Tamandua tetradactyla: one gene and its partner. The protein of the gene in region 2 interacts with the protein of the main gene of each other region in a biochemical or structural test. Links are inferred from orthologs where the notes say so. Each region holds a gene or a part of one and is shown on either strand. Other genes may lie near its edges.

Evidence for each region. The genes of interacting proteins can lie anywhere in the genome.
Region 1: the proteins of ERBB3 (region 2) and SHC1 form a complex in vitro, tested with the Homo sapiens proteins (2 studies listed by BioGRID and IntAct, with this or other methods). The link is inferred for Tamandua tetradactyla from reciprocal best matches to the Homo sapiens genes ERBB3 and SHC1.

What each region holds. Positions count from the first base shown.
Region 1 is NC_135330.1:7,961,548-7,969,476, forward strand, and holds the start of SHC1 (SHC-transforming protein 1), read right to left. Parts: upstream 3,060-7,929; 5' UTR 2,318-3,059; coding exon 1,730-2,317; intron 1,717-1,729; exon of another isoform or gene 115-1,716; coding exon of another isoform or gene 1-114. Other genes in the region: CKS1B (cyclin-dependent kinases regulatory subunit 1), read left to right, coding at 3,612-3,670, 5,711-5,838, 6,460-6,512. UniProt on the Homo sapiens protein: Signaling adapter that couples activated growth factor receptors to signaling pathways. Participates in a signaling cascade initiated by activated KIT and KITLG/SCF.
Region 2 is NC_135333.1:123,144,180-123,152,192, reverse strand, and holds the start of ERBB3 (receptor tyrosine-protein kinase erbB-3), read right to left. Parts: upstream 3,022-8,013; 5' UTR 2,869-3,021; coding exon 2,787-2,868; intron 1-2,786. UniProt on the Homo sapiens protein: Tyrosine-protein kinase that plays an essential role as cell surface receptor for neuregulins.

The DNA of each region.
Region 1 (7,929 bases), on a different chromosome or scaffold from region 2:
TGAAGGGGAAGGCAGCTCCTCCGGGGGCGAGGACCCTGAAGCCCCCTCCTCCAGCGATGACAGAGACTCATTCCGAAGTGGGTTGTACTTGGGCTTAGGGGGCAAGAGATCCATGGCTGGGGTGCGAAGGGGGCTGCTGCCCAGCCCGGCCCCCCTGCCAGTCAGGGCAAGGGGGCCAGGCAAGGGGCATCCCAGGCCCTTAGCCTGGTGAGACCGCTATGGTCTAAGAGTCCCAGGAGTCCTGGAGGGAGAGGGATAGGCGGCTTTTGCTCCCCCAGCTCAGACCCAGACAGTTTCAGGGCCCATCCCCGCCCAACGTGGAGCCTCTCTTCTGGCGAGAAGAGAACAGGCTGGACCCAGAGCTGCCTGGCTCCTCCCCAGGGGCGGGAGCAAAGAGGAGAGACCAATCGCGAGGACAGTGCTGACTCACAGGCTCAGAGGGGCTGAGCCCCCACCGCAGCCCCGACTTAGAACCCTTGCAGGAGTAGAGATATCTAAGCCCCTTCTCCCGACCCCACCAGAGAGGAGTAAAGTGCGGGTTGTGGGCTAAAGGGAAAGATGGAGAAGTGGGAAGGAAAGGAGGGAAATGAGAGCATGTCTGGATCAGTCCAAACAGGACATGGGCAGGCCAGGGGGTGCAGGAAGCCAGGATGGGAGGGTGGGGGGTAGCAATGAGAGAGGAAACAGAGGCAGCTGAGGGTGGGATCCCTGAGCTCAGCACTTCCCTTCTAGTCCTGGTTGAATGCTCACATTCCCCCATCCTCCAACCCCGGCCACCTCCCCACCACTACCACACACAGTCAAGGTGGCCCCAGGGAGCCTGAGCCATTAGCTTTCTCTGCCACAACAGCTGGGGACTGGAGCTAGAAAAATGGGGAAGGGAAAGAAGTGGTCCCAGTGGATGCACAGAGGGGCCAAGAGGAAAGGCAAAACTGGTGAAGTGAAGGGGATAAAGCTGGAGGTGACAGCTGGAACAAGAGGACAGGCTAGTCGAGCCTTGTTTCCTATGCATGGCACCTACATGCCAGGCACAGTCCTGCCCCTCTTCCCACAGGCTAGTCAGCAAAGAATGCTGTCAAGGCTAAGAACTGAGAGCCAGAGCACTAACTTGAAAGTCAACTCCCTGGATCCATCAGGTGTACTCCTGTACCCCTCCTCCCCCCCACCCCCAGCAGTAACTGGGGAAGGGGCAGGGGTTCATCATAGAGCACAGTGTCCTCCACACCAGGGGACGGATGGGAGAGTGGATCAGTTTTCCAAGTGAAATGGGAGCTATGGGCCACTAAAGGACAGAAAAAGTAGAAGACAGATTTGTCTTAAAATCTACAGAAAAAAAAGGAGGCCAGAAGAAGACAGGCTGAGGCTGGACACAAGGAAGTCTCAAACCCATTCCTTCCACCCACAGCTTCTCACCACAACTGTGCTTAAGGGAGCAACAGAGTAACTTAGGAAGCCACCAAAAAACAAGAAGTAAAAGACACATACCCCCAGCTCACCTTGGAATTACCCTAACCTGAAATTTACTTCAGAGGGTAAAAAAATGATCAACAATATTAGCACTTAAAACATGTGAGACACTGTGCTAAACTCTTTCACCTCCCATTAGCCCTCATCCCAGGAGAGTTTGTCACCCCAGCCACCACTCCAGAGAAAGAATTCTATCACTCCGTCTCCTAAGACCTCAGCTCTCAGGTCTAGAGAAAATGAAGAAGGGATTCCTCAGACTCACACATTCAACACACAGTAGGATATCCTCATCTTTCAAGACAGCCATTCTGTGGCTGCCAGAGGTCGGGAGCAACCAACAGGTGTGGGCATTTGGAAGAAAAGAAAGAGGAACTTTGGCTCTAAATTTGCATAGAAAGAAAGAAAAATGCCTACTGGGAGCCCAGGTGGTTGGGTGTGGGGACGTTGTGTCTGGCTTCTCAGCCCAGCAGGGAGGAGGCAAGCTGGGAGGAAAGTAGCAGGAAATGGTGAAAGCCTCAGGAATGTTTCCAGCCGGGAAGGCTAGGCAAGCGGGACCAGGAGGAATGCCCAGACAAGAACTCCGGCTAGGGGGAGGGGAAGAGCCAGAGAAGTGGTGGGAACCGAGGAGTCCCTTAAAATAATCAACCACCACCAGGTAAACTGCTCTCAGCCCCCACTCCAAACCCGCATTCTCAGGTGACAGAAAACCCTCACTCCCGTCACACCCACACGCTGCACACCACTGAATCCACAGCCCTCCCCAGCTCGCGAAGTGCAGGTTATGACATTCAGCTCTTCCTGGGGTGGAGTCGGTCCTGGAAAGAGAAACTAAAGGAGTGGGGCTTGGCATCTACAAGCAAATCTCTGTCCTACTCTCGTACCAGACCCCAAGTCCCTCTTCAAGTCGGTCCACCACTGGAAGGGGGTGAGGGGCTGCCTCTCTTACTCCTCGGACGAAAGATGGGAACTTGTCTTCCCACTCAGTGGGGCATGAGAGAGCTCAGGAAAGCTGAGTCCAAAGCTCAGAAGACAGAAAGGGAGGGGAAATGTAAGTATTAATGTACAGCGTCTGGAATCAAAGACAAAGCCTCTGAGGTGGTGACCTGGGTCCTACAGGAATAAAGTTCCTGTGGGGGCGTGGCCCCTAAAATGCGTGCAGCAGATACTACCGAGAGCCAAGGTTTCTACACCATCAAACGCAGATTAAGGGAGAGGTGTGGCTTCTGGAGGGGTGGAGCCCCTAGAGAGGCGTGGCTTCAATTAATTCGAATAGTTCCTGGAGGGGCAGGGCTCGGCCCTTCTGGGAGATAGGTCTTTTGACAGACAGAGTTAGCGGAGAATCGTCCAGAGGAGGCGGAAGTTCAGACAGTTGAAAGGACAAACGAAGGGTTTCTAGTAGTAGGGATTGGAAGCATGTCTGGGGGTGGGACTTCCAATAAAGCTGGCGACAGGGTGGGGTCAGGAACAATAGATGGAAAACAAATCGGGGTTCGGGGAGCCCCCCCTGAAGTTGAGAGGTGGGACTTCCGGGAAGGGGGTCTTAGGGGGCGGGACTTGAAAGGGGAGACCGGAAGTGGGGTCCCGGGAGAGGGGTTCCGGGGTGGAGGTGTGGGTCACCTAAGAAGAAAAGAAGTCAAGACTCACCAGGGCCTCATGGAGTCTCCGCACCGCACCGCGGGCCGATGTGGTTCCGGATTACGCCACACTGCCTCTCTAGGTCGCCGCTCCAACTTTCTCCCCGGGCCAGGCCTCCCTGGAGAAACTTTATTGCACCTACTTCCGGCCTCACTAACCCCTGACCCTCTACCTCACTGTCTCTCCTTCGCCCCGCCCACTTTCGTAAATCAGCCAATAGCAGTGCGAGAGCGAGCACAAGCGCAGCGATAGCCAATAGGAGGCCTATTTTTGTCCCACGCTCGTTCTAGAGAAACGTAGGATACTGCGCTCCAATAAAGACTCGAGGAGAAGAAATCTAAGCCAATCAGAGGCTTGAAGGTGGAGCTGTCCCGCCTTGAGCCAAACAAGCCAATAGGAAGTGCGGGCGGTGTGTTTGAAAGCGAGGCCAAGGAGGGTGGGAGCGCGTGCTGCTGGGAGTTGTTTGGAGCTTGGCTGCGCCGGGCTGGGGGCCCTCAGTCAGAGCCATCATGTCGCACAAACAAATTTACTATTCGGACAAATACGACGACGAGGAGTTCGAGTACCGGTTAGTGCCGGCGCGGGGGCCGTAACGTGGTCGTGAGCCTTGACAAGTGAGAACACGAGGCGTTAGTAATGAGAACTGAGGCGACAGATTCGGCGCATGCGCTGGGGTTTAACGGGAGTGCTGTGAGAGCGTGGAGGGCGTGAAGCGCATGCGCAACGCGTCGGGCGCGCTCGGGAACAGATAAATTGGTTGCGAATTTGGACTCTTGAGAGGAGGCGTGGCTTAGAGTGTGTGTTTCGGTCCCTGACCTCCCAACCCCCCATCACCTTTGCAGGTTTCTGGAGTATTCTCTCAACTTTGTTGGGCAAACCGTCTAGGACCAGAATGCCTGCGGGGAGAAGTTGGCAAAAGCGGAATTGGAGGTTTTCTAGTGTCCTCAATGTGAGGAGAGGCCTGAGAGGGTCCAAATCTGGCTTATTTTGGAAGGGGGCTGCGAGGTGGAACAAATTGGCTAAGAGAAAAGGTTTAAGATGAGTCTAATAAAAACTTTAGATATTTGAAGGGCATCTGTTCAGGAAACAATTACGAGTACTTACAGGTTTCAGGTGTCCTGCTAAGATGCAAGGTTAATATAAGACGTTGTCTCTGCATTCAATGAACTTAAAATCTGTGGAAGATACACTTATATGATATGATAGAGATGTGTACAGGGTGTGGTGGGATTTATAAAACCAGCCAAGGAAATTGGTAGGTCTGGGAACGCTTCCTCGAGAAAACTGCCTGAGATGGACTCAAGGAAAAGATTAGGAAGGAGAAAGTGCCTCAGAATCAAGTTGCTGGTTAGTCGTCTACCACGGTTGGCAAAGAAGGAATCCCTGGATTGTATGCACAGTTAAGATTTGATAAATCCATAATTCTAGATTGGAAAATGAGGAAAGACAGAGGATTCTACAATTGTTAACATTCTACTAATCTGTATTAATTGTAATAATTAAGACAACTTTCTGTTTGCATATTGTCTCAATTGGAGAGTATAAAATGGAAACTTGCTTTTTGTCTTGTCTCTTCACCTGGCCTAATGCCTGGCTCTGAGTATACTTTGGAAAATTCTGTGTGTGTTGACAAATAACCATTTTCATGCTAGGTCCTTGGTAAAACAACCCCAAGCCCTTCTCGGATGCAATTAACTTTCTTTTCCTCAGCTAAACACCTCTACATCTGAACTAAACTAACTGAAACTAGATACTTATAACATCTTTGCAGGGAGAAGTCACTAGTTTCATCCTTTGGGAGATGTAACTCTTAGCTTGGCAAAGGTAATTTGGTTTAAGAGGTTTTTGTTAAATTATGTACTGAAGCCAAACTTTGTGGCAGAAGCTTGTTAGAATGTAAGCTATTTTCAGACATCTACACTAGAATTATCTCTGGGAAAAAACCTCTTACTAGCACAGAGGGAGCATTTAGTACATTTTCACTGAACATAATGAAGTCTACCCAGGTTAGCCTGGTTCAAGCTCAGAGTAATAATTTTTCTGTCATGAAAAGAGATTTTTCCCTGGCTAGGGAAGCATGGAGTTTCCCAAAAGAAGTCTCATGGCATATCCTTATTTCAGAATAAGGAAAATGATTTGGAATAGACTTTAAAAGATAAGATATTTCCATTTCACTCTTTGTGGTGGCTTTTCTACACAGCAATACATAATGGGCCTTTCTGCTCCACAAAATTGCTCTCCCTTTACCAAACCTGTTCAAAACCCAACTTAATTATTAATGTTTGTTGTGGGGCTTTCATTATGTTATGGGTAATCAATGAGAAGACTGTAAGCATGATGAAGGCAGGGACAATGTATCAGTACGTGAGACTTAAGTGCTCATCCATTTAAATTATTTATAAGGTACTTTTGTGAGGATTTACCTAACTTAGGCTGGATTCATAGCTGGCCCTAGCCCTCTATATACAATAAGGAATGTATAAACTCCTGACTTCAGAAACTGGTTTCTCTTTTCTCTCCTCTCTTGGCTTTGTTTGCAGGCACTTGTTTTAACAGACTGTTCACAGTGCTGACACAAATTCCCTGCCTTCCCTTGTTTCTCTTACAGGCATGTCATGTTGCCCAAGGACATAGCCAAGCTGGTCCCTAAAACCCATTTGATGTCTGAATCGGAATGGAGGAATCTTGGTGTTCAGCAAAGTCAGGGATGGGTCCATTATATGATCCATGAACCAGGTCAGTGGAACAGCTAAAAGCATCTGTATAGGGCTGGTACACTGAGAGAACGAAGGAATAGTAAGTGTGCTGCCCAAAGAAATGGGGGAAGGAGAGCATGATTTACTGGCTCTTTCCCCTCCATCACCTATCTAGAAAAACTAGAGTGACCAAAAATAAAAATAAGAGTAAAATATCCATGAAGTTCAGAGACAACCTGTCACTGAAGAAATCTCCTTTTAATTTTTAATTCATTCAACAGAGAATACTCTTTAAGGCCAGCTATACCCTGGTAGAGGTTATGGCCCTGTTTCATTCTCCACTAGAAAGCCGATTTTTGGATGTGTTCCAAATAAGCCAAGAAAAATATATTTGTTGATAAGACACCAGACACCCAGCTGCCAGGCAAAACTAATAAGGGACATCCCAGGGCTGTACAAACACAGCAAAAGGATTATTAACCATTCTGTACTTGGCAGAATTGCCTCTGGGTCTGCTTCTAGAGCCATATGCTTAAATCTTAATTTAGTTAAAGATCTAAGTGGGTGAAAGCTGGGAGGTGGCCATGGGACAGCATGAGATAAACTAAGTTGTGCACAGAATGGTATAAACTTGTCTCTTAAGATTTCACCCCTCTTTCAGAACCTCACATTTTACTGTTCCGGAGGCCACTACCCAAGAAGCCAAAGAAATGAAGATAGGACACGATTTTTCAACCTCAAGCTACACACAGCTGTCCTTACTTGCTAACATCTTTCTGATAATGTTGCCTTCTTGTTTCTCACTTTGATATTTAAAGGATATTCAATAGACTGCTTGAATGTGCTGGTGACTGCTTTGCCTCTTGAGCAGAGCCAACACCACCTCTACCCAGCGAGATGAGTGCTCTTTGGGCCGTAGCCTCAGCTAAGTGTGACCCCAGATGCCATGGTGGGCTCTATATCCAGCAGAACACACCTGGCAGATGGAGGGAGCATCTGAGAATAAGACCCATGGCTCAGTTACAGGGATTGTGTAAACTTGGTGTTTTGTTTTTTTCCTGCCGGGTGTTGTATGTATGGTGACTTGTGGCTTTATGTTTCAATGTATTGGAAACTTTCCATTTTATTCAGGAAGTCTGTTCCATGTTAAAACCCTTGATTAAAGAGGAAGTTTTTATAATCCAATTCTAATTGAAAGGTTTTTTTCCCCCACCACTGTCAGGGTGAGCATCACATTCAGTATCATGTTCTAATTATCTGCCGTTCAGTTAGATAATGAAGCTAGGCTCTTTGCTGATAATGAGGTTTATTTCAACATTCAGGTAATTGGTTTTTAATCTACTTGAAACAGACATGCTGTCCAACATCTACTGAAATATATTTCACTCTAACTGCTGACCTGAGGTAGTGGCTATATAGCGACAACCTCATCCCACCAAAACATGAACAAGTTGCTTCAGTCAGGACTGCCTTTAACCTAGACCCATATTTGAAGGTTATGTGAGGGTAAAGGGAGGAGGCTGCCAGCCAGAGAACACTAATGTGCTCCAATTCTTGCCCAGCATAAGGCTCAGGCGCACTGTTCGTTGGTTGGGAGTGTTTTCGATGGTTCTCAGCTTTGGCTGGGCATTAGCATTACCTGGGTAGCCTTAGAAACACTGATGCTGTGCTCCCTAGAGAGTCTGATTTAATGGGTGTGCAGTGTGGCCTGGCTATAGGGATTTCAAGCATTCAATATGCAAGTGGCTACAGCACTAAGCTTTGAAAAAACATGTGTGGACTGTAACTGTTTAGGAAAATATTTCACCAAATAATAGCTTACCCTCTATTTTAAAGATAACAGCAGTATTAAGTAAGGAAGATTATCCTCCTCCCCATTCTTTCAAACCATTTATTTCTAGAGCAGTAGTTTTTCTAGTTGATTGCAGGACCAGAAGCCTCAGTATCACTTTAAACTTGTTAGAACTGCAACTTCTTGGGCTCCACCCTAAACTTAATCAGAAATTGAGGGTTGGATACACGTAGCCCCTTCAGGTGATTCTGATGTTCACTGAAACTTAAGAACACACCAGTAGATGATTAGACCAGACCTGATATTCTTTTCATTGAAAACAAACTGTTTATTACTTGA
Region 2 (8,013 bases):
CTCGTAGCACCCGGCCCCTCAAGTCTTGGGTTCAGACAAATGACCTCACTGGTGGGGGGAGGGGACTTTGGCGGAACGGAGGGGGGCGTGTCAATAGCAGCTTTGTCTTTAAAGCAGGAAGATAAGGGGCTGGTTGCCTACCCCTCTCCCCATCCTATTCCCAAACCCTGGCTTCCCTTCTCGCTCCTTTCCCTTATTCCAACACATTTCAGCTCCCTCTGCCTGATACTTTCTAGTTTCAGCAAATGCAGAGAAGCCAGAAGGGAAGCAGCAGCAGAACCGCCAAGCCCTCTACCCAATTTCATTGTTAGAAGGGTTTCATTAAGAGGCCAGGCCTTCCAACAGGGCAATCCTTACCTGCATTAGGGGAGAGGGACATGAAGCATGTCATCTTGGGGTCCACTTTACCTTATCTATGTGGGAGATACAGGGGCTCTGGAACTCTTGGTCTACCCCTACCCCTGTCTATTTCCTCTGACTCAGTGAAAGACTGTGCGTGGGGTGGGGGGGAAGGTAGATACCACCTGTTCCAACCACCCTTCCCTGAGGCAGTGCCAGCTTAGTGGGAGGCAGGAGTGGGGGTGGGGGGAGAGATGGCTGAGGCTTAAGTCCCTCTCCCTAGATCCACCCCAAGTCTGACCACTTGACCTTTGAGGGCTTCCCTTTCCTAACACTACCCACCAAGCGCAGGGGTGAGCTAGACCCAACAAAGAGGTAAACAGGTCAGGAACTCCCAGAGAAGCATGGGGACTCCAGGGTCCTTTGGGTGAAATGAAAAAGACTATGAAGGTTAGTCATTTCTAGAACAGCTCCACCCCGATCCCTTTCCTGGCAGGACACCCCCTCTTCCAAGTCAAGGCGCCAATCCTTCTCCCCAGATAAGGGAGGAGCCAAGATTTCTACACAAGGAAGTGGCATATGTATGCATGCGTGCACACACACACACACACACACACACACACGTGTGCAAACCTCCTCTGCTGGCCCAGGGCTCTCTATGGGGTCTTCCTGATTAGGAACTATTTAGGTGTCCCCATGGGAAGTATTTAGGTGTCCCCATCCATCCCACCTGCCCATATGAGTTTGTGAAGACTTTGTGTCTATGCTTGGAAGGCTACAGTATTAGAGATACATCTCTAGTCCTCCACCATTCTGAGGGTAAAGTCCATATTACACAAACAGGGAGCAAAGGGCCTAGGTGGGGAGAGAGTATAAATAACACCTCTGGGGACGAACTAGGCAGCCTGAGGAGAGGGCAGAGGGACTGGAGTTAGTAAAACCTTGGACTGTAGCCAGAGGCCAGGGGCATGGGGAGGGGCAGTGTCACAGGCCCTCCTTTGGTAGAAAGCTCTGGGGGAGGGACACAGCAAGAATCTCCAACCCCTCCTCAACCCCCACCCCCATCACAACCAGCAGGGACAAAGGGGCTATAGAAGGACTGAGACAGGGCCGGATGCCCAGAGGCTGCAGAATCCAGATAAAGGGTAAAAAGACCCAACCATGCCTGCCTCCTGCCTCCCCTAGAGACAGAGGCCAGAATCTCGGACTCCAGGGTTCCGTTTAAGATTCCGAGGACAGAGATACAGTCAATTTACTACTTCCTCGTACTCCAATCCCCAGACCCCCGCCCTTCACCAGCTGGGAGTGTTCAAATCTCAAGATCCCAGGGTCTAAATTTAGGCCCAGCAACTGTGGGTGAAGCACAGGTGTTTCTCCCACTCCCACCCTGGGGAAGGGGCCCTGGCTCTGCCAAATACCAAGCTGGAAACTTGGGGGAAGGGAGATCAATAGGACTTCTCCAGTTCCAGCACCCCTCAGGTATCTGTGGTCTCAGAGACACCTAAAAGGGGCTCAGATGTCATGGGAGTCCAGAGAGGAATAGAGAGCAATCTGAGACTCTGTCTCTTCAACACAAATAAACAGAATAGGGGTAAGGAGTGGGGCCTGGGAAGGACTCCCAGAACAGGAGCCTCAGGAGGTGGTAGAAGTGTCCTCTTGGATCTTAGGTTGGGGGTAAAAAAGACAAATAGGAGAAACAGAGTCTGGAAGTCCTGCCTCTGTAGCTTCTTGCCAAGGGCCTTGTGTATAGTAGATGCTCAATAAATATTGAATTAACCTGGGTATTGACAAAGAGAAGTTGGTCAAGGCGGAGACCAGCCAGCTTTGTTGTTTTGAGGGAAAGCGGGCAGGCAGCCTCTGCTGGGCCTCTCACCCTGATGTCACCTGGACTTGGCCCTCTCGTTAACTCAGCACCCCCCCCCCCCCAGGGCAGGCCAACTCACGGAAGAGGAGGTGCCGCTCCTGTTTTTCCAACACCAGAGAACAACAACCACCCCCACCCCACACCCCAAACCTACCGCAGCTCCGCCCTGTCGGCAAAACAACGAAACTGGAGGTGGCTGAAACTCAGGGGGAAGGGGCTGGGGAGCAGGTCCCCATCTCCAACCATCTCCTGGCGCTTACAGGACGGAGGTCCCCGCTCCTGCCCCCGTAGAGTCCCTCAGAAATGTAAACTACTACGTGGGTACTGCCCCTATCACCAGGGACGAATTAGAGGGTCGGCGACGCGCTAGTAGGGGGCTGGTCCACGAATCCCGTCCCCGCCCGGCGGACGCCGAGAACCCTAACCTCTGAGCTTGGCCATCGCCTCCCAGGTGGTCCCCGCAAACCTGGGGCCAACATCCCCAGTCTCGCACCGCCTGAGACCCTGCCCCTGCCCTGAGGGGCTCCACGCTCTCGGTTGGGGCACCAGCTCCAGAGCCTGCAAAGGCTCCGGCGCCGCTTACCTGCCTGCGAGTTGCCCACCTCTGAGCCCCGGGCCAGGCTAAGGAAGAAGCCCAGCACCTGCAGAGGCGCGCTGGCCCTCATGACTCCGGTGGAGAGTGAGGGAAGCTCAACCGAGTCCGGCCCGAGGGCCCCTGGACTAGGACATCGAAGCGGGAGCCACCTGAGCCGCCAGCGAATTAGTGGCGGCGGCAGCAGAAGTTGCAAATTGCAACTGGAGCCGGAGTCCGGGGCGGATGGGAGGGAAGGGGTGTGTGTGTCTATAAGAGTGGGAGGGAGGGCGCACAGGGAGGAGGGGGTGAGTCACGGCCGCGCCTCCTCCCGCGCGGGGCGGGAGTAGGGTTTGCGGGAGCCTTCGACCGCCCGCCCCAAGAGCGCCCCGCGCCCCAGTGCCCCGCAACCTGGGGACTCCCTCTTCTTAGTCAAGCAGGCTAAGAAGTTCCCATCCTACTTTTCATTCGCGAGCTGGGCTAAGAGGAGACTGAGAGTCCAAATGCCCCCCAAATCCTGGAAAATGTAATGGGGGTGGGGAGAGCGCTCCAAAGCCCGGCCCTCTGAAATCTGGCCTCGCCCATTAACCAGATCGCTCAACTCCCCCAGCCGGTTGGATCACCTGGGGATTTTCTCCCTGAATGTGAATATTTCCCTCTGTGTGTGTTTTTCGAAGGGAGAGGGCGTTCTTTGCCTCATGTGCGGCCACCTCAGTTTCCCCGGGCTCGATACCCCATAACTCATCCACTCTGCCCAGGAACCCGAGCCCCAGAGGCTGCGTGAAATTGCACTGTCTCCGGCCGCTTCCTCCTCCAGACCCGGCGCCGGCCGGGCCTCTCCGGGGGATTTGGTTGGGGGGCGGGGGTGGTTTCCAGCCTGGGAACAGACCCTGGAGCCCGCCTTTGCATTTCCACCCCGGGAGGGGCTTCCGCACCTGTCGCCGTCCGCTCTGCTGCCCCCCACGGCCGCCTGGGAGAACAGCTGCCTCCCCTTCCACCCTGGAGTCTGACCGCGCCGTCGGGGCGGCCCCAGTTCCCGACGGATCTTCTTGGGACTCAGGTCGGCACACAGTCCCCTCCCTAGGCGCTCCCGCACACCCTCCCCGGAGCTTTCCAAGTGCGTGCTCTCGTTGGAAAGGAGGGGGTTGGCGATGAAGGAGCACGAACAGAGGGCACTAGAGACTGTGTGATTCGGGTCCACGAATCACTTGGACCCTTGGCACCCTCCCAGATCTAGGTCAGAGGCCGCCGCGCGACCGGCGGGTGGCTGCCCGAGACCCTGCCTGACCCCAGCGGACCCGACCCGTGCCCCTGGGGGGCAGCCGGGGCACTTCAATCCTGGGTCTCGCAGAGACACCCGAATAATTTTCCCCAATAATTCCAGAACAGTTAAACCTTCATGCAGAAAACTCCCCCATACCAACACTGATCGGCAAAAATTCTTTAAACCTGCTCGGTATTGATATGCAACATAGAGGGCTTTGACCCCCACCTAGACCACTCTCTTAGCCATAATAGTGGTAACAGCGACACCTTTGACATATAAATACCTAGACCGCTTAATTTGCAAACTGTTTCTTCAAATGTAGTACCTTAGAGAATGTTTCACTGACAAAAATTATGTGAGCTTGGCAACATGTTTGATAGAACTGGAAATAGAAGCTCTGGTGACAGTGGAATCAGGATGTTTGACTAGGATTTCATGCTGAGACGGAAGCTTCCTCTGCTCAGAATCAAACTCTCGGGAGATAACTGGGCTAATAGAATTTAGGGGGTCTCCATCTTCACTTACTATCCCCCAGACCAAAGGGTCTTTTCATTGAATCACTCCCTTACCTCAAGGTAAAGTATTCAGGGCCCTGATTCTGAAATTTGAATTCCAGATGGCAAATTTTCCGCTATCCTTGATTTCCTTTTTATAAATAAACAGTTGCAAACAGGTCGTGATTTGGATTTAATGAGAAAAGGCAGGTAGAGCTCTTAATTACCGGATTCGATCCTTTAAGAAGTATTCGATGAACTAAATAGTTGCATTTAGTGATATTATCATCAATACTACCCCACCCTCCATAACTAGATCCCAACCTGTGCTTGCTGATATCTACCTGTGGCGACCCAGGGCCGGGTCTCCCCCTCCATATTGAGAGTAACTCATTGCATGTAGCTGCCTACGTGACAGAAAGAAGTTATCTTCAGGAGGAGGAAAAGAATGTACAGATGGTATACTAAACCCTTTATCTTGTAAATCATTGAAACTCTGCTTCCCTGATATGTTGATAAGAAATTCCCAAACCCGTGTCATGAGACCCTGCTAAAACTCTGTTCTCATACCCTATGAAATGTCCTTGTCCTGAACCCTTATAAGCTGTCCCTTTGTACCCCCGCCTTTCTGGGGGGCTGACTTCCATTTCCGAATGGCTGACGCTGGGAAGAAGAATCTCCTCTTGGCAGGTCATCATGTCTAACTTGTGCCTGACATATTCTTTGGTTTTAGGGCTGTTTCAATCCGTACTCCTCAAGAGCTGGGTAAGAACACCAAACATTCTTCAATATTTAGACATCATGCTAAGCATCAAGCATATAAACACTGGAAAGAGCTGTCCTATAAGGAGCCATCTCTGTTGGATGTTGCCTGACTGAATAAATACAGAAAGGAAAGGAGGCTTTATTGGTGAAAGCTCTCTGCTGTTTTCCAACACTCATTCTTAACTGATGATTTTGGTTCATATTTAATCTGAAAATAGAAGTAATCAAAATAAAACATCTTTTTCTTCCTATTACCAACCTGACCCATTTACCTCCATCCACACGTTATGTACTGACTTCCATCTTGTTACAATGAAGTTTCTTTGCTTCTCTTTAAGGCCAAATGTCACCCCATCCCCACATGCTCCAGGTATGGAGTCCAAAACCTGGGGACTGTTTTTCCTGCAATTATCCCCCTTTTTCCTGTATTACCAATATTTCTGTCTGCTGGATCATTTCCATCAGCATATGAACATGCTATGACAGCTACCATCTTATAAAACAAAATAAAACAAACAACCTTTTTTTTGACTCTTTGGCCTTCTAGTCCTTTGCTTCTGACTGCTGCTAGGTATTCTATTGTGTTAGTTAGATTCAGTTGTCAACTTGGCCAGGTGAGCATACCTAGTCTTGTTGCTGCGGACATAAGCCAATGGTACCTAATTGCTAATTACATCTGCAGTCGGCTAGGAGGCCTGTCTGCTGCAATGATTGACGTTTGACTTAATTGGCTGGTGCTTAAATGAGAGATCACAAGGTAGCACGGCTAAGCAGCTCGGCATTCCTCATCTCAGCACTCACAGCTCAGCCTAGGCCTTTGGAGATGCAGAAAGAAGTCACCCCGGGGATGTGATGAAATGTTGAACTGGAGTGTCATGGTGAATTATACAGGAGATGAAGTCATAAGACTGATGATGCATTGTGTAATGGGTGTCAGAAGAGGTGGAGAAGAAGAAATTAAAGATGCTGTCTAGCTTTTTGCCCTGAGAAATTAGAGAGATACAACTGCCATTTTATGAGCTGGGAATAACAGGCATAGAGGGAAGTTCCTTATAAAGAGAATATTTTGCTGAATATGTGGCAGAACTAAAGTGAGCAAGAGGATACGGAAAAAGACACCAGGAATTGAACCAAGGTCTCCTGTTTGGCAGGCGAGAATTCTTTCACCGAGCCACTGTCACACCACCCTAGAGAGGAGTTTTTATTTGCAAAGTGATAGAACCACTCAACTTGAAGTGATGAAACAAAAGGAGAGCAATTTATGTAAAGCAAGCTGAAGAAAATAAAATTGGAGCAGAAATCAATGAAATTGAAAATGGGAAAAAATAAAAATAAAACAGCAAAATCAAAATCTAGTTTTATGTAAAGATAAATAAAATCTATAGATCCAGACTAAACAAGAAAATGTGAGAAGAAACAAATGAGCTATTTCAGCAATTGAAGAAGGATTATCACTGGTGATTCCACTGACATTAAAAATATTTTTAAAAGTGCATTACGAACATCTCTACCTCAAAATTGATAATATTGTTAATATATACCAATTCCTTGAAAGCCATAAGCTACAAAAACTTATAGAAAGAAAATTTGATGCCTTCAATGGATCTGTATCTATTAAATATTCAATCAATATTTAATAGTCTTCCAAATAATAAAGGCCTACATAGTATTAATGGTAAATCCCACTAAATACTTAGGGAAGAAATTATGATATTACATGGAAAACTCTTCCAGAAAATAAAAACACAGGAAACAAATCCTAACTCATCTGTGAGGCAAGCATGCCTTTAATCCCTAAAGAAGATAAAGATGTGATAAGAAAGGAAAATTAAAGATGAATCTCTCCCATAAATACAGAAGCAAAAACGTAGTGTCCAAAACTTGGTTTCTAGTACTAATATACAATAAAAGGAGCCAGGAGCCCTTAGGAAAATGACGATTCTAGGACAGGGACAGGAGATATATAATGGGAACCTGGAGCTTCTTGTAGCCCTAGGAAGTAATAAAAAGTGTTCAAGCCTCAAATACTCAAACTCACACACATACTTGCACACAATGTTGAAGGGTTTCCCAAAGGGACATAAAACCCACTTGAAAGAACTGCCAATGTTCAAACATGAGTCAATTGGTGCAAAAAGATGTATTGTTGATTTATAATCCAATGTATATAATAAATATCCATCAATCAATACTGTTGTAATTAAATTATTGAATAAAGTAGTAAATGATGGAGAATAAATAGATCTCCCATGAAGAATAATCATGTGGTAGCTTAGAGCTATGTATCACAGAAAAACATGTTCTTAAACTTAATCCACTTCTATGAGAATGAACCCATTGTCTATAGGGCCTTTTGATGAGGTTGCTTCAGTTAAGGTGTGGCCCAACTGACTCAGGATGGGTCCTAATTTTATTGCTAAAAGCCTTATAGGGATGGCCATGGAGAGAGAATAATAAGCCGAAAGAGCACCCAGAAGCTTTAAGTCAATGGATCATGGAAGGGAGGGAGAAGCCAGAGGAGGCCACCATGGGTATTACCATGTGAGAGAAAAGGCAAGGACCAAGGATTGCCAACAGCCAGAGACAGAAGGCCAGTCTTCTGGAAGAAAGCATTGCCTTGATGATGCCTTGAACTTCTCTGAGACTCAAAATCATGAATAATAAATTTCCACCATTTAAGCCAAGAAATTCATCAGCCAATAAAACTGTAAAA